Danio rerio: one gene and its partners. The protein of the gene in region 2 interacts with the protein of the main gene of each other region in a pairwise test. Links are inferred from orthologs where the notes say so. Each region holds a gene or a part of one and is shown on either strand. Other genes may lie near its edges. The genes, in order: actb1, ntaq1, apip, necab2, eif2b1, pygma and blmh.

Region 1 (4,134 bases), on a different chromosome or scaffold from region 2:
CCTTTCTAGTATTTTTTTTTCCTTGAAGCCATTAGCCTAGCCTATCAGTGTCACATTACTTTATCGAATGTAAACTAAACAGTCTGTGCTTCAAAACATTCACGACATATAGTGTTATTCAATAGTTTATATTATCAGTCTTTTTAAGTAACAGGGTATGTAGGCTGATTTTTTTTGTGCACTCTTCAGATTCCAGTAATGCAGCAGCGTGAAGCGTCATCGGTTTATGACGTAATTACGCAAAAGCCGGCTTGACAGGAAGTGTTGTTTTCTATGGAGCACCGTGCCCTTGTTTTGTATCCCCTGCTTTGCAGATAACCAGATAAAATGAAATATGCTTAATACGGTTGCATCTAACATGCCGAGCGGCGATGTAACAGACGCCGATCTGAGCAACAACAAAACAATAGTCAATATTTCATTAATTTCCGAATGACTCCTGATCTTCTGCAGCTTTACATCCATGATATTATAAACAGCAAAGCATTATGCACAAAAGCAACCTACGATTGAATTAAACAGTGCAATGTTCACAAATAAAGCCTTTTTTAAATATGCTTTTACATTATGTTTTATAGAGTCACGAGAAGTACCTGTACTTTAAATGGGAGCCACGCCCACGTTGTTCATCAAACTAACCTAATAAAATGACACACTTAAAATGTCTTCTCAAGAATTAATCGTAAATGAGTCGTTTTCAACTAGCTGTCAAACATTAACTGAAATGTAAAGCAGATTAGTGTATAACGTTAATCAAATAATGATTTCTTCTCTGTTCTACCAATAATGGCTCTTGTATAACGTTAGTTTACACATTGTTGTCATTTATAGAGCTGAAACATACAGTAAAATACAATATAAGTTTAAATACTATTGGACAATGTCGTACTGCTATGTTTAAACGTCCTGTCATTCCTGCAGCCTAAGTACAGCTTATATAAATGCAACTTTACATCATGCATTGCTCGTTTTTCACAGAAATAATAAACTATTTAACGTTACTCGCTGTATGTGAGGTTATTTAAAAGTAACGTTAAGCCACAGACATGAAGTCTAGCATCCTTTACTGATTTAACTGTGTTCCAATCCAAATGATATACATATCCTTAATTCAAGTGTTACATCTGCCAATGCTGTGTCAAATCAACTTATCGTGTATTTCCTTATCAAATTATTTCGCCTTTTCGCCGATCCCTGACATACATTATTTCAACCCAGAACTTGAATTTCAAGCAACTAGCTTGAAACTCGCCAAGTGGACGACGGCTGGCCAATCAGACCGCTCGCTGCCGAAAGTTTACCTTATATGGAAGGAGCCGGCCGCAGTGCCGGCTATAAAGCTGTGACCCACCTCACGCTCAGCATTGTGAGTTTTCAGTGCACGCTGAGAAGATCTTCACTCCCCTTGTTCACAATAACCTACTAATACACAGGTGAGAATGCTTTTATATTAATATTTACTGGTATTTGGAATAATTTAGTAATGCTTATGATGATTATTGGAGATTTATTTATTAAAGCTATATTTCATTTTGCTTGCTGATCGGATTTGAATTGAAGTCTTGGTCCTGTCTGCCTAAATATGTACTTTGCTGTTGATTTTTACAACGCTGAATAAGTTATGCTGATTTTTGTGCTTGTGTTTTATTAATGGTTTTAACCGGTAGCAGTTCCAGCTTTCAAAGCTAACGTTAGAGTAATACAACTGTAAAGCCTTCTACATAAAGCGATTTATTAAATTCATATTTGGTAGTAAATTGATTTTTAATGTAAGGTTTAATTTAAATGTGGATTTATTAATCAACGTTAACGTTAGTATCATCAACGGCAGTGTTCGCAGTTTGAATGGTGGGTGTGGCTACTATAACGCATTAACCGGTATCACTGCCGTTTAATTCGTGTGCACGGTCAAATATATATAAAAGCTTTTAAAGTTTCTTGTTTGTCTGTAACGTTGTTGGGATTTCATAAACTTGTCAGTCACACACGAAGTTAAAGATTATTGCAGCACTTCTAGTTCGTTAAAGTTAAGTTACTCTTTCTGTTGAAATGGCTTCGTTTTATTTCCTTTTCAAAAGACAAGAGCGTGTTTTAGTGAGCACCGGGATTTCACTCGTGGCGTTGTAAAGCGCTTATCTCGGCCTTTGAGACCGGGAGGGAGTGGTCGCGTCCGTTGGTCTGATTCCACGCGCTGAATCGGCGGCATTGAGCTGCTCTAACTTATTGCCATATAAGGCAATAGTGAGGCTGCCTGGCCACTTCCTTTGTCTCAAATCTCTTGGTTTCAACCCTGCGCCTTTGCGCCGCCTACTGGCCAGACGTCACAAATCCATCAGTCATCACCGCCTATAAAAGACACTACCCATTCATATTTTAACAGTTTCGCTTTTTTTCCCTACAGCCATGGATGAGGAAATCGCTGCCCTGGTCGTTGACAACGGCTCCGGTATGTGCAAAGCCGGTTTTGCTGGAGATGATGCCCCTCGTGCTGTTTTCCCCTCCATTGTTGGACGACCCAGACATCAGGTACATTTAATAAACCATCCTAATAACATGTTAATCATATTGAACCACATTAAACTCTCATTTGTGCATTTTACATCTTTTAAAATCGATTTATATTCGTTTTTAGATAATGAAGTTTATTAAAGTGTTAATTCACAGCTTTATTGCCTGTTTTGAGAATCTGCTTGCATAAGTGATTTTTAAACTTGATCTGATTCTCGTTTGTTTCGAAGTTCTTCAGCTTTGAAAGTCAGATCTAATAAAAGTTAATTTAAGCGTTCATTACAATAAATTCAAGTGAATCTGTTTTAAGCTAACCTTCAACGTTTTTAAATTCCTTCAAACAAATTGGTTCCTCTTTGCAGTTCCTCATTTCTCGGTGAGCTGGTGCTTTAATCCCTTTACTTTTTCTTCCTCTAGGGAGTGATGGTTGGCATGGGACAGAAAGACTCCTATGTGGGAGATGAGGCCCAGAGCAAGAGAGGTATCCTGACCCTCAAATACCCCATTGAGCACGGTATTGTGACTAACTGGGATGACATGGAGAAGATCTGGCATCACACCTTCTACAATGAGCTCCGTGTTGCCCCTGAGGAGCACCCTGTGCTGCTCACTGAGGCTCCCCTGAATCCCAAAGCCAACAGAGAGAAGATGACACAGGTGTGTTCCTGTGATCAATTTGATTTTCATATTGCCTTATTTGGCTTTCTTCCCCTCTTTGTTCACTTCCTTTCTGTCCATTTCCTCTTAGGCTCTGTCACTTGCCATGATCTCTTGATAGGAGGTTCAAAAGGTTCATCCCTATTTTTTCATTCCTTTTCCCCCTCTTGCATGGTAGCTTCTAACCTTAACTCTCCACAGTTGAGCGTTTTAGCATGGTGTGTTGGAGGCTTTCTTGCCCTGTTGTGCACCCATACTCACGCAGATTTGAGGCTCTGAGTTTGGTTTTTAACCAATTATCTCTTCTACAGATCATGTTCGAGACCTTCAACACCCCTGCCATGTATGTGGCCATCCAGGCTGTGCTCTCTCTGTACGCTTCTGGTCGTACTACTGGTATTGTGATGGACTCTGGTGATGGTGTGACCCACACCGTGCCCATCTATGAGGGTTACGCTCTTCCCCATGCCATCCTGCGTCTGGATCTGGCTGGTCGTGACCTGACAGACTACCTGATGAAGATCCTGACCGAGCGTGGCTACAGCTTCACCACCACGGCCGAAAGAGAAATTGTCCGTGACATCAAGGAGAAGCTGTGCTACGTGGCCCTGGACTTTGAGCAGGAGATGGGAACCGCTGCCTCCTCTTCCTCCCTGGAGAAGAGCTATGAGCTGCCTGACGGTCAGGTCATCACCATTGGCAATGAGCGTTTCCGTTGCCCCGAGGCTCTCTTCCAGCCTTCCTTCCTGGGTGAGTTCCTTGCCATGCATTTAAACTGATCTCCCTTTCAAAAGTGATCCTTCAACAGTGACTAACGTTTGCTTTTATTGGTGCAGGTATGGAATCTTGCGGTATCCATGAGACCACCTTCAACTCCATCATGAAGTGCGACGTGGACATCCGTAAGGACCTGTATGCCAACACAGTGCTGTCTGGAGGTACCACCATGTACCCTGGCATTGCTGACCG
Region 2 (3,994 bases):
CTACAGCACTACAACTGCTTACACAGTTTCGCATTTCGGTTTGGTTGTTTGTTTAAATTCTGCATTTTTATTATCTGTACATCTGTGTAACTGATTTCTTTATAAAAATAATACACATCCTCGACAAATGACAACAATGGCTTTCTTTTCTGTGACCTTTCTACCTGACTATAATTAAGCCACATTGCCAACTGTTCAATTAGTAAAAATAATTTCAGAGTCAATAAATGTGTCTTTTGAGGCCTGCTTAGTTGCAGCATTCTCCATCATAATAGGATCTTTCCCTGAGGCTCTGTTTATGTACATTTTTCAACAACAACAACAAAAAATGTGCTGGAAAAAAAGCATTACTTTACTCCAAAGTGTTTAACAAAGTCTGAAAGGCTGTAAACCTCTCCATATCCCACTCGGGGATCCATGCAGATGAAGTCATCAAGATTCATTTTGGATTCTGAAAAGGACACGTTATACATGAAAGTGGAAGAAGAAATCAAATTATAGTATTTACTGTATATAAATCTGCAATAGAAAACAAACCTGGTGTCTCTAAACATGGATATGCTGGAGGTGGCATACGCCAATTCCCATCGGAGTCCTTCATATGAGACCGATCAGAAGCAAACTCCTTCAAATAAGTGTCCCCGGGTATGACTCGAAGTTTCCTAAAAGAGCAAACAACACTTTGATTACATTCAACTAAGACTGGCTATTATTATTATAAGGGTCAAAGACATAAAGGAGTTTAAGCATTTGTTAAAAAATATATATATAAAAATAATATTATTTAATGCAAAAGTAAATTAATTGACTATTGTCCATCACCACAATTTACATAAGATGACCTCTAAAATGTAGTTAAGTGTAACAGTAGTTTAAAATACTAAGTTATATTTAAAACAAGAATAATGTGAGGCCATACTAAATGGATAACAATGCAGCCTCAAAATACTAATTCATATTAAAATCTTCATTCAATTTTGTCCTCACATTTTATGATGTGCTTTTCTTTTATAAATTTATTAAGTACTTGTTACACTTATGTTATTTCATCTTTTGTAGAATGCAGATTAGACCAGATAATACTTGCCTCCAGTAAGCAGGTTTCAAATGCTTGTCAGACTGAAAGGCCTCCATTGAATAAACGTCAAGCGAACAAGGAAATGGAAGAATGGTGTCTAAATCGTAAATGAAGCTCGGTCCTTGTTTACTTGCGTGTAGAAGAATAACATGGTAATCCTAAATGGAAAACAACATTTTTATATCAATTAGAGACTACCATAAAATATGCATAGTTTTTATACATATAAAGTTCCTACCCAAATTACTGGTTCATCCCCTCGACTGGACTTTTGTTTCCAAATAGGTATCTGAAATATTACACAATTTTTAACACACATACATACTATATATACACTCATTGGCCCCTTTTGTTTGGCACACCTTACTAGTACCGGGTTGGACCCTCTTTTGTCTTTAGAACTGCCTTAATCCTTTGTGGCATAGATTCAACAAGGTACTGGAAATATTCCTCAAGAGATTTTGGTTCATATTCACATGATAGCATTACACAGTTGCTGTGGATTTGTTGGCTGCACATCCGTGATGCGATTCTCTCATTCCACCACATCCCAAAGGTGCTCTACTGAATTGAGAGCCGGTGACTGTGGAAGTCATTTGATTACAGAACTTCATGTCATGTTTTACAAACCAGTCTGAGATGATTTGCGTTTTATGACATGGTGCGTTATCCTGCTGGAAGTAGCCATCAGAAGATGGGTACACTGGTCATAAAGGCATGGACATGGCCAGCAACAATACTCAGGTAGGCTGTGGCGTTGACACAATGCTTAATTGGTACTAATGGGCCCAATGTGTGCCAAGAAAATACCCCCCATGCCATTACACTACCACCACCTGAACCGTTGATACAAGGCAGGATGGATTCATGCTTTCATGTTGCTGACGCTAAATTCTTACCCTACCATCCGAATGTTGCAGCAGAAATTGAGACTTATCAGACCAGACAACGCTTTTCCAATCTTCTATTGTTCAATTTTGGTGAGCCAGTGTGAAATGTAGCCTCAGTTTCCTGGTCTTTGCTGACAAGAGTGGCACCCATGTGGTCTTCTGCTGCTGTAGCCCATCTCCTCAAGGTTCGAGGTTCAAAGTTACTGGAATCACCTTTCTTTCCCATTCTTATGCTTGGTTTGAACTGCAGCTGATCGTCTTGACCATGTCTACATGCCTAAATGCATTGAGTTGCTGCCATGTGATTGGCTTATTTTTGCGTTGAGCAGCAGTTGGAAAGCTGTACCTAATAAAGTGACCGGTGACTGTATACGTGTGTGTGTGTGTGTGTGTGTGTGTATATATGTATATATATATATATATATATATATATATATACATATATATATATATATATATATATATATGTATGTGTGTGTGTGTGTGTGTGTGTGTGTGTGTGTATGTATGTATATAACAGAAAACTGTACATTTCATTAAATGTAAAATACTTGTGTGGAGATGAAGCTCACCTTCTTTCTTTCATTAGATATAAATACTGCATACACCTCTTCCAAAGGACAATGTCTCTGATTCTTGATATATTCACACAATTTCCACACATTCTCCTCACTGCAACAAACATTTAAATACGTGTATGAATACGGTACGTTTTAAATTTGAAATAATGTTACAGGTATTATCGCATTTACCAGTAACAGCTGGTGTAAACACATTGGTTTCCGGACGGGGTGATCACTTTATATTCAGACGAAGCGCTTTCTTCATTCATTCTTTCCTTCCTTATATACGTGTATATACAGTAGGTTTACGCGGACTTCCAGTTATAACGACATGACAAAAGAATACATGTGTATAATGATACCATAGATATTTACATTAATATTACAATGAAGCGATTCGCGTTGCAACCGCACTGTTGCTTGTTACAATGTATCTTGTCCGTAAGGAACTTCAGGGGATTTGTCGTTCCGGCGAGACAGGTGATGCGCGAACATTCACTCCTTATGTGAATTGCAAATGTAGCACTTGCACGATTATCAGCATAAATATTAAACAGTCTAACTTTCATAAAGCATAAGTAGAAAACACGTTAGCGAAAGATAACGTGCAGTTAGGCATCGTTCTCAACTCAATACAATTAGCCAATGTATTGGTTTCTAATTTCAGAGTATCTGATTGTATTTTGTTGCACGTTAATTCGTTTTTTGCCACATACTTGTATAAATGTTTGTGGATATCTATAAATTTTTTTTGTGAACTATATTTTGTTTTAAACTGAAAATGTGTTTCTGTTTCTAATGCATGTTTATCTCAAACCCTTTCATTTCTCTATACATGTTCACTCATTATAGAGTCCTGACAATATGTTTCAAACTATCAGTCCATTCAAATTGTCTACCAAAACCACAGTATGAGTTAATATTAAGGAGGTTAGCACATAGTCTAAATGAATAACTATGTAGTCTTGTCAAAAGTTGTCTTGGTTCACACTTGCTTTGGTCATAAAAAGCCACAAAATGTTCTAAATATATATGCGTACAAGATGTCTTTTGTAAAATAAGGTAAATATTTTTTTGGATTAAATATATCACATTCTGAGAGATGTATTTATTTACTTGTACAACTGTTTTATTACACTTTTTATTGTTTTCATAGGCTAAATCCCCATTTCTGAGCCACAAATAAACAGCTCTTTACACTTTTACCGTTTAAGAATCCACTATTTGCTAACGTGTTTGTTTAAAATGAAATTTGATAACATTCAAATACTTATGATGTTATAAAGTAAGCTAAACCAACAAATATTAACCATATTCTTTTAACAAGATGTATAGGGCCACCTATGTTTTGAGGTGTAGCCATCAGAAAAAGCCCACCATTAACACCTCGTTTTTAGGAATGTCTTTTACTAATGATCTCATTAGCACTTGTGGACCCACTGATTTGAGAGCTGGTGAACTGG
Region 3 (2,266 bases), on a different chromosome or scaffold from region 2:
TGCAAAAGCAGTGCAAAGTTAAACACACAGTGTGTGTGTCCGCTATATGTGTGCGCATGTGTAACCTTGTGTGACTCATCGTTGCAACTCCACAACAAATACATCAAATAATCATTGGTAAATTTCTTACAGTAGTATTTCTCACAACCGTTAAATCTGAGATCTGCTTCCTTCATGTCTGTCACTGTGCTGTTTATCTGATGTGGCTGAGGCGGAGTTTTAGGCACACTGAGAGGCGTGTGGGAACGGTGGGCAGAGAGAATTCACATTAAATGCACAGGCAACAAAAACAGCTACATTGTGTTCAGAGCTGAAAATTCCAGTATTTCTAAAGCTATAATCAGTAATATGATGGGTGTTTTGAGCTGAAACTTCTGGAGACACAAAAGATTTATCTTAGATCTTGAAAAAAGGATAAAATAGGTGCCGTTTAAATGACAAACACAAAATTGTGAGTTGCATATTTGAGCAATCGCTATAAACACACACATGCGCACACACACAGTTATAGTTTTTTATTATGCAGACTCAAACAATGCCTTTTTCTTCAGTTGGAAAAGCAGAAGGATCCAGACCACTCTGTTTCATCTGCACAGCAATGTCAAACAAGTAGTCATAACATTCACACCTGGAAAACAATAGTGATGTAAAAGATCAATAATGTATGTTTCTACAAAATACAAACAAAGTTGTGCATTGAATTCCCCAGCTCACATTGTCTTTGCTTTCTCCCAAGTCTCTCCCCAGACGTAGACGCCATGTCTGCGGACGAGGACAGCGCAGGAGTCGGGGTACATGTCCATGGCTCGGGCCATCCGCTCCTTCAAGTCTTTCTCCTCTGGGGTGTTTTCAATTATTGGAACAACTAGAGTGTCGTCATACCTGGGTAAAAACACAACACAATAGAAGAAGAGAAGGATATTAGGCGCTGACACATTTTACTTTCAGTTTCTTTTTCCAACCATTTATAAAACACAATTAATGGAATGTTGTCACCTTTTTTATCGTTAAAGAGTTAATATTGCTAATATTTAGATATTTACAGAATTTAAACTATGTTCAAGTCATCCAAATATACATTCAATATACAGCCATATTGCACTGCTATGAGTGTAATTTTGCATTTATACAACAGTTTGATGACATAATCGTGTATATAGAAGAGAATATCAAACACAGCGAGTCACAAAATCCCTTTTGTACAAGGAAACTACTTTCTTCCACCATTCATTCACATCTGCAGCTGTCAGAACATATATGTTATATATGTTGAAAGTCAGTAAATGATTATTATATTAATTAGATTAAAAGAGATTTGGCTTTGGTGCTGAGTAATATAATTTATATACACAATATATATTATTTTAAATCAAGGTAAGTTGTAAAATATTGATATAAAAATGAGATCTTAAAGATTTCAAAGAGGTATCATGTATGTATATGCTTTCATTTGCTTCATTTTACATCTCAAATTTAAAATCGTGTTCATAAAGCATCATAACAGGAACCACAACCTGAAGTTTGTGCCTGAGTTTCCTTTCCGAATCCCCTTAATCATCTCTTGGTGTGTGATACGGAATTCCTTTCCAGGAAACAGGAGAGTTGCCATTACAGCAGACTTTGAGTGCGTGTGAATAACTGCCTGAGCACCTGTGAAAAAGACAAGACGATGTAACACGGTACAGACTAAAAACAGTACATTCTGTGTTGACATGTACCTCTCATAGTGTAGGCGTTCATGAAGAGTGGCGTGCACTGGCTCTTCTTCAGCTTCTTCTGTGGAGGAGGACAACTGATGTCCTTCTCATCAATGTCACACACAAACAAGTCCTCTGGCTACACAGCAGGGGAGTTATAGTTTATTTTAGCATTATTTCATTTTACACAGAAACAACAACATGACTAAATAAAAAACCTTACTTGTATTCTCTCCTTCTGAACACCTGAGGGAGCTATATAAATGTGCTCACTAAAAGAAGAAACAAATAGTCAGGTCAAGACTTGACAAACAATCAATAATCAGCTCAAAAACTAAACTGTGCATTAGAATTGAATCAAGACATCTAAAACCATGTCAAAAACTGGTATTCATTTAAAATAATGTCTGTATTGTTATTTACAGTGTACATGAAAATTTGTCAAAATAATGTCATGTTTAAAGACATGTTAAAATTCACTCTAAGACAATATAATACCTAATGTTTTAACTTTGCTACTTAGCTACTTTACTCCTTAACTTGACTACTTAGATAAACATTTTAATTAA
Region 4 (4,292 bases), on a different chromosome or scaffold from region 2:
ATGTGACCTGGAATTTGTTAAGACTTTTATTTATGTATGTTGATGTACTTCCAACTGAAACTGGATATTAAGTAGGGGGTGAAGTTTTTTTATTGCTCATCATCCCCTTGTAGAAAAGGGGTGTGATTAAAAAAATATCAAACTGACATCAACAGAGAACCGCCACTCCTAATGTGGAAGCAACATGTCAGATTTTGAATGAAGATTAACAAAACTAAACTAAACTAAACTAAACTAAAAATCTGTGAATTAACTTGCAAAATGATTGACTACAGTAATTTTGCAATTATTAGAGTACTAGTAGACTTTCTGCTAGCACTTTATTTTGATACTCCTTCAAAACATTAAATACAAGTAACTTTGCAAGTACAGTACAGGGCAAGTAAAGTTATAGTTTACTATAATTATTGATATTTGTGATTAACATTCAATTTCATCTCATTAGGCCACTTTTTTGTCAAGACTTTCCCTTAAATTTTATCATGCTTTACATTATTTTTAAGACCATCTTTGTGATATTATGTTATGGAATGAACAAACACATTAACATAGTTTACTACTTGTTAAGTATGAAGCTTAAGACATTTTATTTTAAAAAAAAGGTCATGCTATTGTTGAAAATTGCATCTTAAAACCAGAAGTAAATGGGGCGCTAGTTGACTAGAAGATACAAAGTCAACAGAATTTATAAATGGTCTAGTTCTGTTCAGAATCTATTTAGCTGCAAAGTCACATGTACAGTATTTTATTGATGCTGCTTTGCATCTGAAGACTGATTATAATGCTGGAACTGTGTCGCTTGATTTCCCTCTCAGGCATCTTCTGACTGCAGCCTGCAAGGCGTTCCAGCATGTGAAAGTGGATACTCTGTGTCAGCCTGAGGCGGTGTCCACTGTCGCTGTGCCCGGTGTGTTCTTCTGTCTGCTATAGAGGCTGCTGTGGGCATTAGAGCCAAACCAGTCTTTGATGCTGCTTGTTTTGCATGTATTGTGTAGTCTAGAGGAGGGATGTCCTTACATTTCACAGCTATTATGAATTCCTACTTGCCCTGCAGGATTACTCTCATTTTCAGCATGTCTGTCCTCTGACAGTCTCTGCATTTGGAGCTTCTGTATTGCAAACACTCTTGCGCTCATTCCAGCTCTATTACAAAATAGAAATACTGAAAGAAAAAAAAACACTCAAGAGCCTGCATACATTTGAAGTCAGAATTATTAGCCCCACTTTGATTTTTTTCTTTTTCTTTTTTAGATATTTCCCAAATGATGTTTGACAGAGCAAGGAAGTGTTCACAGCATGTCTGATAATATTTTTTCTTCTGGAGAAAGTCTTATTTGTTTTATTTCGGCTAGAATAAAAGTAGTTTTTTTTTTAAGGTCAAAATTATTAGCCCCTTTAAGCAAACATTTTTTGATAGTCTACAAAACAAACCATCATTATACAATAACTTGCCTAATTACCCGAACCTGACTAGTTTACCTAATTAACCTAGTTAAGCCTTTAAATGTCACTTCAAGCTGTATAGAAGTGTCTTGAAAAATATCTAGCCAAATAGTATTTACTATCATGGTGGCAAAGATAAAATAAATCAGTTATTAGAAATTAGTTATTAAAACTATCATGTTTAGAAATGTTGAAAAAAAAATTGTCTCTCCGTTAAACAGAAATTGGGGAAAAAATAAACAGGGAGGCTAATAATTCTGACTTCAACTGTAGTTGTAAAAAGGACATATAAACTTAAATAGGCACACAAATGGTGCTGAGCAGTAATTTGTAATTAAATTGTAGCATATTTGATATTTTATTCTGTCATTTAGACAATGGCAGATAAAAAAATTGTAAGTTACTAATTTTTCCTAATTCTAGATGTCACTTTTTCATTTAAAAATACAAAATATGTTACAATTTGTATGCATTTGGACAGTTATGTACACAATGGCAAACTATTTAGTTGTTTATTGATTTTTACTAATTGTAGATATCTCTTTTTAATTAAAAATACAATAAAATTGGCCTTTTTTATACAGTGAGAAAGTTATGTACACAGTGGCAGGCTATTTTGTCGTTTACGGATTTAATTTTTTTTTCTAGGTGTTACGATGTTACGCTTTGAATAAAAAAAATAGAATAGAAATGCCATAATTTCAGCATTTTAAAAACAAGTTTAGTATAATAGATTACAATAAATATTTTTATACAAGTGCATATGCATTTACATTAAATATGCTTATATTCGTTATTTAAAGTAATAATGTGGAAGTTGTGTAGTTTAGAACTACTGTTATTAAAAACTAAAATTGATATGATCTATAGACCCTTTTCACAAGACTGTTATGATGTGTTTAACAATCATCATAATCTTAAATCCTTGAATCCTTTTAAATATTTAGATTAAAAAAACGTTTATACATTAATATGCATTTATGAATATTTTATATAATCTTTGTGTCAAATTACAAAAAACTCAGTCTCACGCAATTTTTTCTTTTTTTGAAAGTCTTGATAACACCATTGTTGAGTTTTTCTTTTATTATTTCAGCTAATAGGACTATAAAAAATATTATTTGTACTCTCACTGCGCTCTACGTTTACCTAACCATGATGCCTTATGGAAATGTGAAAAGGGTCCATTATTAAAACTTATTAAAATTATTTGTTTACATACTGTTATATATAATTAACACTATAATTATTTATAATGAATTTATTATAAATAGTTGACCTTAAAGTATGTGTGTGTATAAATCTATGTCTGTGTGTCTATGTGCAAGTGGCTGCCTGTGCTGAGTGTGCTTTTAGTAAGTGCATTGATTCTCTTTCAAATGTTTCATTACACGTTCCAGGGCTAACCAAATCTATCTGTATGTCTCTCTGAATGTGAAGCGATCAGAGCAGCCTACAGTTTACAGTGCTTTGCATAACCGCAAAACTATAAGCTTGTCTAGAATGTGTTTACAGAAATTTGTCAACCGCTATACAAAGAATTTTACTGTCTTTCATTACTTTAATAATGACACTGACTCTCTGTCTCTCTCTCTCTCTCTCTCTCTCTCTCTCTCTCTCTCGCTCACTCTTTTACTCTTTCTAGCCGCCTGGTGCAGCCTGAACAGGGACTGAGAAGTGTGCCAGTCTGCGGGTGGGACGTCCCGCTTATTGCCTGAAACCCCTCTCTTCTCTCTATCTTTCTGTCACAGTCTCTGCTTTCTTACCTCCTCTTTCTCTCTGCTCCCCCACTCCGTCTCCTCTTTTGTAATTACTTGTTTACACAGTATCCATTTAATATTGAGCCAAAAGTAGTGTCTCCAGACACAGTTCCCTCTTCACATCCACTGCAACACACAGAAACCCACATCAAAACTCCCACCGCATTCGGGAAGCTCACTTTTGCACCTAAAACATCACCTTACATGAACAGTCTCTACTAACCAAAAGAGGCCGATTAATATTTCATCCCAATTCAAGCACGCATCCGCTGCTTTGCAGACAGTTCCCTGCGGTACAACTTCTGAGAAGACAAAAACTGTGCAGCAAAGTATTTCTAAAGCTGTCCATGGACACTAGCATTTCTGTAAAGGCTGTTTAATACTAGGTATAGGTTGGTCTATTAAGTACTTTGGACTGTATCTTCATGAATTGTTTGTGTAACGCACTGAGCCATGTAGAAGGACTGGTGCTTCTGTCAAAACCGTGAGCATGACCAATACTGCCAGTCAAGGGGCCTACATTTACAACACATCCAAATCAACATCCGCTCCAAAAAGCACAATGTTCCTGAACGAGGAATGAAATGCTTGTATAAATGAGATTCGCTGACGAAGAGAACATCATTTTATGTTGATCACTCTTGAGAGGGAATATATAGATGTGGGACGAGTGCTTAAATTAAAAGAGTGGCATTGACTTAAAGGGATAGTTCATCCAAAAATGTATTTTACACTATTTACTCGTCCTGAGTAGTAGATATTTTGAAGAAAGATACCGTAGATATATACACTAGAAATTGCATATGGACCCTGTGCATGCGTCAATAGTGCCGCCAAATTTGTACAGTGCTCTCAGGACAAAAGTCATTCAACCGCACTAGTCAAGACCAAAGCCAATCTGATGATGCTGGACTTTTGTGCTGCAAACAGGTTTAGTAACGAGCAAAGAAAGAAAACAAAGCATAAAGGCAGAACATTTCATAGATAAGATGTTGTTTTGTATGTTACGAACTTTTGGGCTAAACAAGTCACGTTATTGATGATTATACAGTCACTTACTGCACAGACCATAAGCGCAAAGTAGCACCA
Region 5 (4,090 bases), on a different chromosome or scaffold from region 2:
TAAAGTATCGATTCACATTAGTTCCCATCCACATCAAGCATCGGTTCACACTAGTTCACATCATTTCACATTCACATCAAGAATCTGTTCACATCTATATCAATTATATCTTCACATTAGTTTATATCCACATCAAGCATCAGTTCACACCCACATCAGGAGTCGGTTCACATGCACATCAAGCATCGGTTTACAATCACATCTATGTCAAGTATTAGTTCACATTAGTTCACATCTAAATCAAGCATCAGTTCACAGTAGTTCACATCAAGCATAGGCTCACACCCACATTGATCCACATCTATATTATCCAGTTTCAGTTCACATTAGTTCACATCCACATCAAGCATGGGTTCACACTAGTTCACATCCAAATCAAGCATCGATTCACATTAGTTCCCATCCACATCAAGCATCGGTTCACACTAGTTCACATCCAAATCAAGCATCGGTTCACATTAGTTCCCATCTACATCAAGCATCAGTTCACATTAGTTCACATCCAAATCAAGCATCGATTCACATTAGTTCCCATCCACATCAAGCATCGGTTCACACTAGTTCACATCCAAATCAAGCATCGGTTCACACTAGTTCACATCCAAATCAAGCATCGGTTCACATTAGTTCCCATCTACATCAAGCATCAGTTCGCACTAGTTCACATTTAAATCAAGAAACGGTTCACATTAGTTCACATAATTTCACAACCTTATCAAGCATCAGTTCCCATCTACATAAAGTATCGATTCACATTAGTTCCCATCCACATCAAGCATCGGTTCACACTAGTTCACATCCAAATCAAGCATAGGTTCAAACTAGTTCACATCATTTCACATTCACATCAAGAATCTGTTCACATCTATATCAATTATATCTTCACATTAGTTTATATCCACATCAAGCATCAGTTCACACCCACATCAGGAGTCGGTTCACATGCACATCAAGCATCGGTTTACAATCACATCTATGTCAAGTATTAGTTCACATTTGTTCACATCTAAATCAAGCATCGGTTCACACCCACATTGATCCACATCTATATTATCCAGTTTCAGTTCACATTAGTTCACATCCACATCAAGCATGGGTTCATATCTATATCAGGTATCGGTTCACACCCTCATGAGTTCACTTCTATATCAAGTATCAATTCTCATTAGTTCACATCCACATCAACCATCGGTTCACATCAGTTGACTTCCACATCAAGAACCAGTTCACATTCAAATTAAGTATCAGTTCACATTAGTTCACATCCACATCAACCATCGCTTCACATCAGTTGACATCCACAACAAGAACCAGTTCACATTAGTTCACATCCATATCAAGTATCGGTTCACATTAGTTCATATCCAAATAAAGCATCAATTCACATCAGTTGACATCCACATCAAGCATCGGTTCACATCTATTTCAAGCATCAGTTCACATCCACATCCCAAGCCGAAAATCAAACAGCACAAACTCACTCTGATCCCTCTTCAGGAACTCAAGCAGTGATCGAATCGCAGCCACCGCTGAAGCCACATCTGGATCTTCCCTGATCTGCCCACGGAAATACTCCACCAGTTCTGGAAGAGAGAAATACATATTCAAATAAATTACTGACTTCCACTGTTGAATTGTTTTAATTCCCAATCTGAAAATATCAGGGTATAAATGTAAACGTTTTGCATTTTTGTCTTTGTAATTCTGTACCTTCGCTGTTGAATTGTTTGGTGAAAGTAAGCTGTGTTGGGTAAGAAAAGTACTTAACTTCAAATTACCTAACTGAAATTGTATTTAAACTTCTGCTGGATAACAATACAGTATAAAACTAAACTCATATAAAGTGTAAAATATATTTTAGATAATTATGTTTATAATTATGTTTATAGTCTTTAGTACTAGCCGATGAATTAATTAATAATAAACTGAACCTTTTGGTAAAATGTTAGACTTACAGTATAGTATAGTAAAGCTATTCATAATTTTGACCACAAATAACTACAATTACCAACAATTTAACAACATTGAAACATTTAACAACATTTAACAATTACTCAGACATTAAATAGCGAGTGAACAAAAAAGTCAAACCCTAAAATTAATAAAGAACAGCTTTTATAACACACACTATGAGCAGCTATAATCATCTGTGTAAACATCATGACTCTTGCACCTTTAAATAATTAAATAAATGAAATATTATTAATCTCCTGATCAACAAAGTCTTTAGATGTTCCCATAATGCATTAGCTATACATATATACACGTGGAATCACGAAATGTTCTCAATTATTATTGATATTATGTGTGTCAATCAAACAGGTCGAAAACAAGCACAAATGCCTTGCGTTACCAACCAACATATCAACATAATTGATCATAATATAATTCAAAATGTAATATAAGATGCTCAGGAAAGCAAAGCAGCTACGCAAATAACTCAGAATCATCTCTGAATAATTATTAAGTGTGTTCTGTCTTGTGTTGTTGTCAAACTCACCTCTTTCCTCCATTTTAAAAGCACTTTCTCTCTCAGAGATCTGTCAAGTTTTGAGTTTCACGAGCTAATAATGATAGTGTCGCTGATGCAACGATCTGTCATGACGCTCTCTGACATCCAGTACGACGAATTGTTTAAAGTTTGTCTACAAAGTAATGCTTGCTTTACCCATTTATTTCATACGATCCCTTTCAGAAACTGAATAACATCTATTCTTCTAGTGTATTTCAAATGAAAGGCTATTTACAGTGAACAAGTGGACATGCTCACTTTCTTCTTCTTCGTTGTTTTATGTCGAGTGAACAGTCGCTTCATGTAGCGCCGCTGCTGGACAGCAGAAAAACAGCAGGATCATTTGTTTAATTCTCTACTACAGGGTTATTCAAACTGTATAATAACACAATTAAAATAATTATCAATCGAATCGAATATTTTTAAAAATATTATTACGGCATATAAATAAATTAGTACAAAAAAGAACTAAAATTAATTTATATTAATAATTGTTGTGTGTATAAGGAATAAATTTAGTACTTTAATGAGTAGGAAATACATTAATTAACGTAACTTAATAGAACACAATACGGAATGCATAATAATATACTGCTAATGATATATATATATTTTTTCAAAGTAAAATAATAAAATTAAATGTTATAAGTATAGACATATACAAACTGTGAGCTTGTAGAGTTTAATTTCGGTGCCTGAAAAAAAAAGTTTAGTTGTCTCTGCAAGATAAATAAATATAAAATATAATATTGCATATGGAATGCCGGAGGATAGTGAGTAAAATAAAACAAAATAATAATAAAATAAAATAATAATATTAATAATAATATAAAAAAAGAGTGATAAAATAAAATAAAATTAAATAAAATTAAATAAAATTAAATAAAATTAAATTAAAATAATGTAAAATTAAATAAAATAAAACAATAAAATAAGATAAAAAGTAAAAGGAAATAAAATAAAATAATAAAATAAGATAAAAAAGTTAAATAAAATAAAATAAAGTAAAGTAAAAAAAATGAAAAATAAAAAATAATAGTAAAATAAGATAGGATAAGATAAGATTAGTTAAAATAAAAAAATGAATTGAAATGAGATAAATAAAATAAAACAAAAATAAAAAAATTAAAAAAATAAAATCAAAGAAAATAAATCTAAACTAAACTAAATATTGTGATTAGAAGGCCGAAGGATTGTAAATAAAATAAATAAAAATAAAAATAAGAAAACAAAAATAAATAAAACAAAAATAAAATAAAAAATAAATAAAATACAGTAAAAAAAATATAAAAATAAAACAAAAATAAAATAAAACGAAATAAAATAAAGAAGGAAAATTAAAAAATGATATTTTTTTTCCTGCACCAGTACAGCAGGTGGCGCTACACTGAGTTCAATCTCTCCATTAAATAAACAGAAGAAGATTTAAGCATGAGTCCAAACAGCACAACTTTCAACATATTGAAGAAAACAGCAAAGAAATACAGTTTTATATCAATTTAGAGACGCCGGAATTGCAGCAATGGCTTCGGGTTTGTAAATCACACAAACACCATTAATGAAACGTTTAACGGTTTT
Region 6 (3,500 bases), on a different chromosome or scaffold from region 2:
TTTTGCTCACATTTTAGACTACACAGCCATCAGTCTACAGAGATTTCCCAATATTTCTCTGCTGCAATTGCAATAACACAATAAATAACCCAGAAAAAGCCAAAGCAAAACACTACCAAATTACGATAGTATAAACACAGCACTACAAAATGCAAAAGAGAGATCGACTTACCTGTTCTATAATGATTTGTTCAGGTGGGCGGAGTAATACACCCCAAGAGTGAAGAGACTATACTAGTGCTGTTATTGCAGAATATCACATGGCTATCAGTCAATCAGAATCGAGAACCAAGCAGAACTGTTGTGTGTGTGACTGTGTATATATATATATATATATATATATATATATGTGTGTGTGTGTGTGTGTGTGTGTATATATATATATATATATATATATATATATATATATATATATATATATATATATATATATATACTTTATTATTATTTAAATGAAATTATATATATTTTTAGAAGAGTAAATATATAAAAATATTTTGTAAATAATATTTGTCCTAATATTACTATTGTGATTAACCGTATTTTCTTTCAAATAATAGTTAAATTCAAAACAAATACTGAATAAATAAAGGAATGCATAAATTATTGTATTAAGGTATAATGGTCCAAAACACGTCAGTAAATAAAACTGTTAAACATTTAGAAAGACATGTTGTGACTATTTGTGTAAATTCAATTTTACAGGCATCAAGAAAGAGCCTAATAAGCAGTGGACACCAAGAACAATTATGATTGGAGGAAAGGTGATTTAAATGCAGTCAGATCAGCATTCAGATCTTTAACTCCTTAGTGAACTGTGAATTGTCTGATAATTCTATTCTTCTTCCCAGGCTGCGCCAGGATACCACACAGCTAAAATGATCATTCGCCTCATCACAGCTATCGGTGAGGTGGTCAACAATGACCCTGTGGTGGGCGATCGACTCAAAGTCATTTTCTTGGAGAACTACAGAGTCACCCTTGCTGAGAAAGGTGATCGATTATAATATTTGAAGTCTCTTACATTTAAATATTTTATTTGAATTATTATTTTTTTATCTTGCATATATTGTTATTAAAAACTGATATTTTAGTTTGTTAGCTTAAACCTAAAGAAAATGAGAAGTGTTGTTGTGACAACTTACTAAAAATATTTTGTTTTTATGATTTTTTCTTTGACTAACCCTATTTGCTACAGAACTAATCTTACAATTAATGATAACTATAATATTAACCAGAAAATAAAAGCTGTATGCTTCCAGACAGCATATACTGTATATCTAACATTTTACCCACATATAACTCTGTGTCAATGCAATGTGTGATTGCCATTTGATTGAGATGGAAATACCTTATAATTTAATATTTGCAGTGATTTTCACAGCTATGCTTTTCTACGGCAAACACTATCAGTGCCTAAACACAATTCCCAGTTTAAAGGGAAGCTATAATCTCAGGTAACACTTTATTGTAATGTGCAATTCATGCTGTTTACAAACCATTATCTAAGGCTATCAGCTCAATAAACCTTAATTAGTGACTTATTAATAGTAAGGTAGTTGTTGAGCTTAAGTATTGGGTAAGATTATGGATATAACTACTAATAAAGAGACAATATCTAAACAATAGGCAGTAGCTAGAAGTTCATTAGTGCATTAAGCTGTAAGTGTTACCATATCTTATAATTAGGGCTGCACAATATTGGAAAAAAACTGACGTTACAATATTTTCTTTCACTGCGACTATATATATATATATATATATAGCTATATAAATGTAATTTCAGCAGATGACTTGAATAGCTTTTAAACAATTCATAATTAATTGGGATGAACTGTAGTGGAGCATATCTGCATAAAATATAATTTTAAAAATGATAAGCAAAGTTAAATACAACAGAGAAAAGATGCTAATATACAATGATTTATGATTTTTTTTTCAAACAGTCAAACAGTATTTAGTCAAACAGTATTTAGAAGCAGAAATAAAAAATAAAAAAACACTGTATAATTATGATAATAACAACACTATTATTTTTAGTAAATAATGACATAATATACAATTCATCTTTAAGCTATAAACATTTCATTTATTGTGCCTTAATGATTAATTAATAATTCATTAATTTAAGCCAAATTTAATGGCTTAAATTTGCTTCAAATTCAATGAGGTCTTAAATACTCATGCAAATCATAAACTTAGTGTTTAAATTTTTTGAATTTTTGAATTTATTGAATGGGATAGCCCGTTGAGATGAATCATCTAATTTTCGAGGGGGTCCCTAAAATTTTTTAGAAATTACTCCACTGCTTCACCTTTCACACAGTCATAACGGGAAATATCCAGATAATTTCTGGAACGACTTTACTGGTAGATTCAAAAAAGCCCCGTTCACAAAGGCAAGAACGTTCCGGAATTTTTTCCAGAAAATACCATTCACACATCTATTTCAAAATACCAGTAATTTTTTTTAAAAATTGGTATTTGTCAACATAGAAGGGGTTGGGCTTTTGTTGATGGTTTTACTTTGATTTCAAGCTTTAGCATTCATGCAGTTGCTTTGTCCCAGAGACATCCAAAAGGCAGAGGCGCAAACAGCAGCTAAACGTTTACACAGTTGACGACATTACAAATTTTGTGGATAGATAAGTATTATGAACAACTTCGATTAAACATATAAAGGAACACTTTCGCATGTTTAGATGTACATAATGTGTGTGTGCTGGCACTCACCGGCTTCTTCACGTGCACACGCGTCAAGCAACTGAAGCAGAGCTTGAAAGAAAACAAACAGAGGTTTATCATAAGGATTTTATCAATGATTTTTACACAGGTAAGATTAAGAAGGAAGATAGAAACTTTATCTGACTAACATCTAGCAGTTAAATGTGTCTGAAAAAAATATTTAAAGGTTTTTATTTTTCATAAACCGTGCGGATGTGAATGCGTCTGAATGTTCTGATTGACTGGAGTAGACATCTTTTCTGGCAATTTTCCTTCTGCGTTCACACAGAGCAGCATTCAGCAAATTACCGGTAATGTTACAAGTTCTCTTTTAGGAAAACTGATGGAACAAATTTATCAGTATTTAAAAAAAAGGCCTGTTCACACAGGTTCCCTTTGTTTGTTGCTGGTAATTTTCTAGAAAGGGATGTATGTGTGAAAGGGTCTTGTGTTGTTCACTGTAGTGTCTGGTCAACTATAATCCCAACTACATTGCAGATCCCTGCGTTGTGACTATTGCAGCCTCGCACATTGCAATATCGATGCTGAAACAATATATTTTGCAGCTCTACTTATGATTATAACATGGTATGAATGTGCTTTAGCCTACCTTATATAATACGAGTCATGCGATTGTGAAAAATATCCCTATCGTTGTCTTTTTCTCTCAGCGATCCCCGCGGCCGACCTGTCCGAGCAGATCTCCACAGCCGGCACAGAAGCTTCTGGAACAGGCAACATGAAGTTCATGCTGAACGGAGCTCTGACCATTGGCA
Region 7 (3,500 bases), on a different chromosome or scaffold from region 2:
AAACCCAAGGTATCCATAATCCTGGACCAGGCTGTATCCTGAGCTGATGCTGTGGTCGTCATGGAGTGCATGAGACCAGCCGCGTTTCCACTATCGCGCCTAAAGTGAGCGAGCCAAGGCCAGTCGCGTTTCCACTGTCACTTCCGAGTGCTAAACAGGTCAACTGGGGCTTCGGGGCAGAGTGAAAGGAGAGGCGGAGTGCAGACACAGTTTTCCGATCGCACACGAGTACATGCGGCAAATATAAATAAATAAGGGAAAGAAAACATCTAGCCTTATTGGCTGGGGTCTTTTTGCGTATGATCGCCCTTATGTTCCCCTTTTAAATGTAAGGCTGTTGCATAAAATAATAAAGTTTTAATTTATAAGTGACTTTTCTTTGCTGCGTCCTCCTTGATGTTTCAATAACGCATAATAATCTTTAGACCATATTAAAGACACAGCAGACAGTAAAGTTTTTCAAGAGTTTTTGTCAAGTTTAAAAGGTGTGCTTGTGCGCGTTTAGATGCCTGTATGCGTGTGTGAGACCGAGGGAAAGAGCACTCCCTTCACAGCTCTGTTGATGCCGCGCAGCTTTTTTCTTTTTGTTATGAGTCTAGTTTCTAGTTTTTTTTCACCTGCACTATTGTCAAATGGTGACGTTTTTTTTCTGAAAAGAAGCCCTTTTAACTTTTTCCCGAACCTCTCGCTGGCCTGCAGATACCCATACTAGTGGATGCTGCTTACTCATTGGCGGTAGGTAATGGGCTATATGCACACAGACTTTTAATTTTCAGCAGGGCAGCCCTATGGCTTCAAGTAAACTGTCTTTCCATTACAAAACTGTCACGTTTAAAATCAGCGATCTTCGCTGCCTGTTAGATATATGATATGATATAAGTGGGTCTCAGATCGGACAGGAAGCCCTGCATTTAATTCCAGTTCCCCCACCATGTCTTTAAAATATGACCCTTTATTTGACCCCAGTATTTTCAATGGAACTTCTGTTGCTACTGACGGCACTAGCGGTTACAACGCTCTTGTATATCTTTTTACGCTTAAACAACTAAATGAATGCTTGAGTCTATTTAACTGAGGATTTTGTAATTACATTACAACATCAGTGCTTTAAAAACAACCTTGTGAAATTGGAAATAGTCACATTAGGCTTTCATCGGAAGTTTATCGTTGGTTTTAAACTCTAGCCGTGCTTAGAGCTTATCAGCGATGTTATTTTCAATCAGTACACATTTTACATGGCATGATTCTGAATCACCAACAGCTCCAGGTATTTAGCATCCCAAATATCTCACGGATATCAGCGAATTATTGGTGATTCTCTCAGATCGTGACTTTAATAGTTCACACTTTGTTACTCACGTGAACAGGCTCTGATTTGCCTGTGATTTCAATCAGTTGTCTGCGATTTCTCAAAAACCTGTTGGCGAGTCAAAATCATGCAGTCTGAACTTAAAGCTGCATCAGAAAATTTCTCTACTATATAATAGGTGAAAAGGTATGTGAAGAAAGTAGCACATCTATTCATAAAACGCAAGATCCCTGGATAACATACCATTTCCGGCGAGATTCTGGTGTACCCAGTGGACTCTTCACTTGAGTATTTAAAGAATGCCACGGACTCCGTTAGGGGACGTTATTACAACCTGTTGGAAACCAGCATGCAAACGCAGCACTGAAATGACTCCACACTCAGACTCCTGTGATAATAAAAAAAGAGGCAAAAAAACTTTATTCTTTTTTTTTTCTAGACCAGGCTTGTTGTGAGAGATGGTGGGAGGGGGTTAAAACCAGCTGAAGGTGGAGTTGAGGAGATCAGACTGGCTCCTGTGGTTACGCCAGGGCTCCCATGGGGTCCCAGGCCGGGAGGACGACGGGGTCCTTCTGCATGACGTCCAGCACTTCAGGAGAGAGAAAACTCTTATCCACCACCACCTCGTACACGTACTCGGAGAACCACTCGTCTGTCATGATCAGATATCCTGCAGGAAGAGATGAGGCAAGGACAGCAGACAGAGATAAATGGCTAAAATGAAAGATGAGCAGAAGAAAGATAGCAAGACGGAGGAGTGGAACGCTGTTTAATTTGCTGCAGCAGAAGCTCTTGGACGAACGTCAGATCGCAATGCACTGTAGGACATCAGCCTACTGATTACTCATATATTCAGGAAAACAAAGATGGCACTGTTGAGAAAAAAATCACATTATATACCCTTTTCACAAGACGACGAGGACATGTTTCAATGGTCATCTGCATCTTAAATCCTTAAAGGTTTCAATAAGCTGAATTTTTTTAATACGCATGTACATTTAATAAGCTATACTTCATCATGCTATACAAAACTGTTAACGCTTTCGGCAAGGTGTTTCTAATGCTGCGTTTATGGACAGTACAGTAAAATTTGACATTAGCTATATTTCCATCCATGCAAATGCAAATTAAATGTATGCGCAAAACTGGAATATCGCATGAAAAGCGAATGCACTTAAAGCAACGTTGCTATTCAATGAGTCGGAGAATAAAATATTCACTTTCTGATAAAATGGCGTCAAAAAAGTAAAAACAAAATTAGTAGCTCAAATATATATGTTAAGGTACAAATATTAAATAAAAAATTCAAGAGCAAAATTCAAGAGAAACCAAAACTGTATTTTTCCCAATATTTTGCATAAATTTAAATGCTTTATGGTTCTATGTCGTTTGGTGACTAAAATATTATTTTAATAAATATATCCGTTTAACAAATCAGTTTTGTTTTCAAAAATATGACCTATATTCACTGAGAAATGGATAAAAATGTTCATTTTTTATAATGTGGTATACTCAGTTATGCTGCACATTGCATGTTAAGGCTAAATAGTTTGATTGTTTCCTATACCAGCAACATTTGAACCATTAAACAATTATAAATGTTTGCTAAAGTGTTGTTAACCTGTCAAGCTATCTTCGTTCGTGTTAAATATAAATGCCTTACAGATTGCTTTTACAAAAAGAATGAGTGGAATGAGTGGAAAACTGGAATATTGTATAAAAGCTGTGCGAATAATGTAGCGTTTTCATTCAACGAGTCAAAGAGAACATAATCGTCACATCCTGATAAACTGGTGCAAAAATCAAAAGTTAAACCGGAATTTGCCGTGTAGGAGAAGCTGCATCAATCTTTTCCTTATTTAATAAATGACTTATGCCTCAGAAGACAATGCAGACACGCAATGAACGCATGGTGGCCTTTAAAGGCATGAAACGTGGAGCTCAGATTCTCTTGACAGTTCTGGAGTTCATTAATATAATAACACTGATACCGAAAAGATTAAGGTGTTTTAGAATGACCAAAACAACATTTCAGGTGTTTTACAGTGTGCTCAGCCTGCTGGTTTGTCCATTCACACACACTTTTATCATCACATGACCTCTTGTAACAAAATCATATGACTTTTCTTTTCAACGCGCTTACCGGAATTTGTTCAGTAAAAGTGTTTCCATCGTAGTTTATGAGCATCTT

Evidence for each region.
Region 1: the proteins of ntaq1 (region 2) and actb1 interact in binary tests that used the Homo sapiens proteins (3 or more experiments, as listed by UniProt). The two-hybrid records come from large-scale screens. The link is inferred for Danio rerio from reciprocal best matches to the Homo sapiens genes NTAQ1 and ACTG1.
Region 3: the proteins of ntaq1 (region 2) and apip interact in binary tests that used the Homo sapiens proteins (3 or more experiments, as listed by UniProt). The two-hybrid records come from large-scale screens. The link is inferred for Danio rerio from reciprocal best matches to the Homo sapiens genes NTAQ1 and APIP.
Region 4: the proteins of ntaq1 (region 2) and necab2 interact in binary tests that used the Homo sapiens proteins (3 or more experiments, as listed by UniProt). The two-hybrid records come from large-scale screens. The link is inferred for Danio rerio from reciprocal best matches to the Homo sapiens genes NTAQ1 and NECAB2.
Region 5: the proteins of ntaq1 (region 2) and eif2b1 interact in binary tests that used the Homo sapiens proteins (3 or more experiments, as listed by UniProt). The two-hybrid records come from large-scale screens. The link is inferred for Danio rerio from reciprocal best matches to the Homo sapiens genes NTAQ1 and EIF2B1.
Region 6: the proteins of ntaq1 (region 2) and pygma interact in binary tests that used the Homo sapiens proteins (3 or more experiments, as listed by UniProt). The two-hybrid records come from large-scale screens. The link is inferred for Danio rerio from reciprocal best matches to the Homo sapiens genes NTAQ1 and PYGM.
Region 7: the proteins of ntaq1 (region 2) and blmh interact in binary tests that used the Homo sapiens proteins (3 or more experiments, as listed by UniProt). The two-hybrid records come from large-scale screens. The link is inferred for Danio rerio from reciprocal best matches to the Homo sapiens genes NTAQ1 and BLMH.

What each region holds. Positions count from the first base shown.
Region 1 is NC_133176.1:10,082,029-10,086,162, reverse strand, and holds the start of actb1 (actin, cytoplasmic 1), read left to right. Parts: upstream 1-1,334; 5' UTR 1,335-1,433; intron 1,434-2,401; 5' UTR 2,402-2,403; coding exon 2,404-2,526; intron 2,527-2,925; coding exon 2,926-3,165; intron 3,166-3,476; coding exon 3,477-3,915; intron 3,916-4,001; coding exon 4,002-4,134. UniProt on the Homo sapiens protein: Actins are highly conserved proteins that are involved in various types of cell motility and are ubiquitously expressed in all eukaryotic cells.
Region 2 is NC_133194.1:37,454,723-37,458,716, reverse strand, and holds ntaq1 (protein N-terminal glutamine amidohydrolase), read right to left. Parts: upstream 2,801-3,994; coding exon 2,721-2,800; intron 2,641-2,720; coding exon 2,541-2,640; intron 1,368-2,540; coding exon 1,317-1,367; intron 1,237-1,316; coding exon 1,088-1,236; intron 663-1,087; coding exon 538-662; intron 452-537; coding exon 348-451; 3' UTR 332-347; downstream 1-331. UniProt on the Homo sapiens protein: Mediates the side-chain deamidation of N-terminal glutamine residues to glutamate, an important step in N-end rule pathway of protein degradation.
Region 3 is NC_133182.1:51,746,701-51,748,966, reverse strand, and holds the end of apip (methylthioribulose-1-phosphate dehydratase), read right to left. Parts: intron 1,970-2,266; coding exon 1,921-1,969; intron 1,837-1,920; coding exon 1,719-1,836; intron 1,651-1,718; coding exon 1,515-1,650; intron 883-1,514; coding exon 715-882; intron 629-714; coding exon 529-628; 3' UTR 501-528; downstream 1-500. UniProt on the Homo sapiens protein: Catalyzes the dehydration of methylthioribulose-1-phosphate (MTRu-1-P) into 2,3-diketo-5-methylthiopentyl-1-phosphate (DK-MTP-1-P).
Region 4 is NC_133193.1:23,004,290-23,008,581, forward strand, and holds the end of necab2 (N-terminal EF-hand calcium-binding protein 2), read left to right. Parts: intron 1-815; coding exon 816-907; intron 908-3,088; coding exon 3,089-3,117; 3' UTR 3,118-3,792; downstream 3,793-4,292. UniProt on the Homo sapiens protein: May act as a signaling scaffold protein that senses intracellular calcium.
Region 5 is NC_133180.1:75,666,721-75,670,810, forward strand, and holds the start of eif2b1 (translation initiation factor eIF2B subunit alpha), read right to left. Parts: upstream 2,801-4,090; 5' UTR 2,514-2,800; coding exon 2,501-2,513; intron 1,584-2,500; coding exon 1,482-1,583; intron 1-1,481.
Region 6 is NC_133196.1:31,536,303-31,539,802, forward strand, and holds part of pygma (glycogen phosphorylase, muscle form), read left to right. Parts: intron 1-705; coding exon 706-764; intron 765-851; coding exon 852-993; intron 994-3,395; coding exon 3,396-3,500. UniProt on the Homo sapiens protein: Allosteric enzyme that catalyzes the rate-limiting step in glycogen catabolism, the phosphorolytic cleavage of glycogen to produce glucose-1-phosphate, and plays a central role in maintaining cellular and organismal glucose homeostasis.
Region 7 is NC_133190.1:31,140,109-31,143,608, forward strand, and holds part of blmh (bleomycin hydrolase), read right to left. Parts: intron 1,980-3,500; coding exon 1,831-1,979; 3' UTR 1,789-1,830; exon of another isoform or gene 1,701-1,788; intron 1,698-1,700; 3' UTR 1-1,697. UniProt on the Homo sapiens protein: The normal physiological role of BLM hydrolase is unknown, but it catalyzes the inactivation of the antitumor drug BLM (a glycopeptide) by hydrolyzing the carboxamide bond of its B-aminoalaninamide moiety thus protecting normal and malignant cells from BLM toxicity.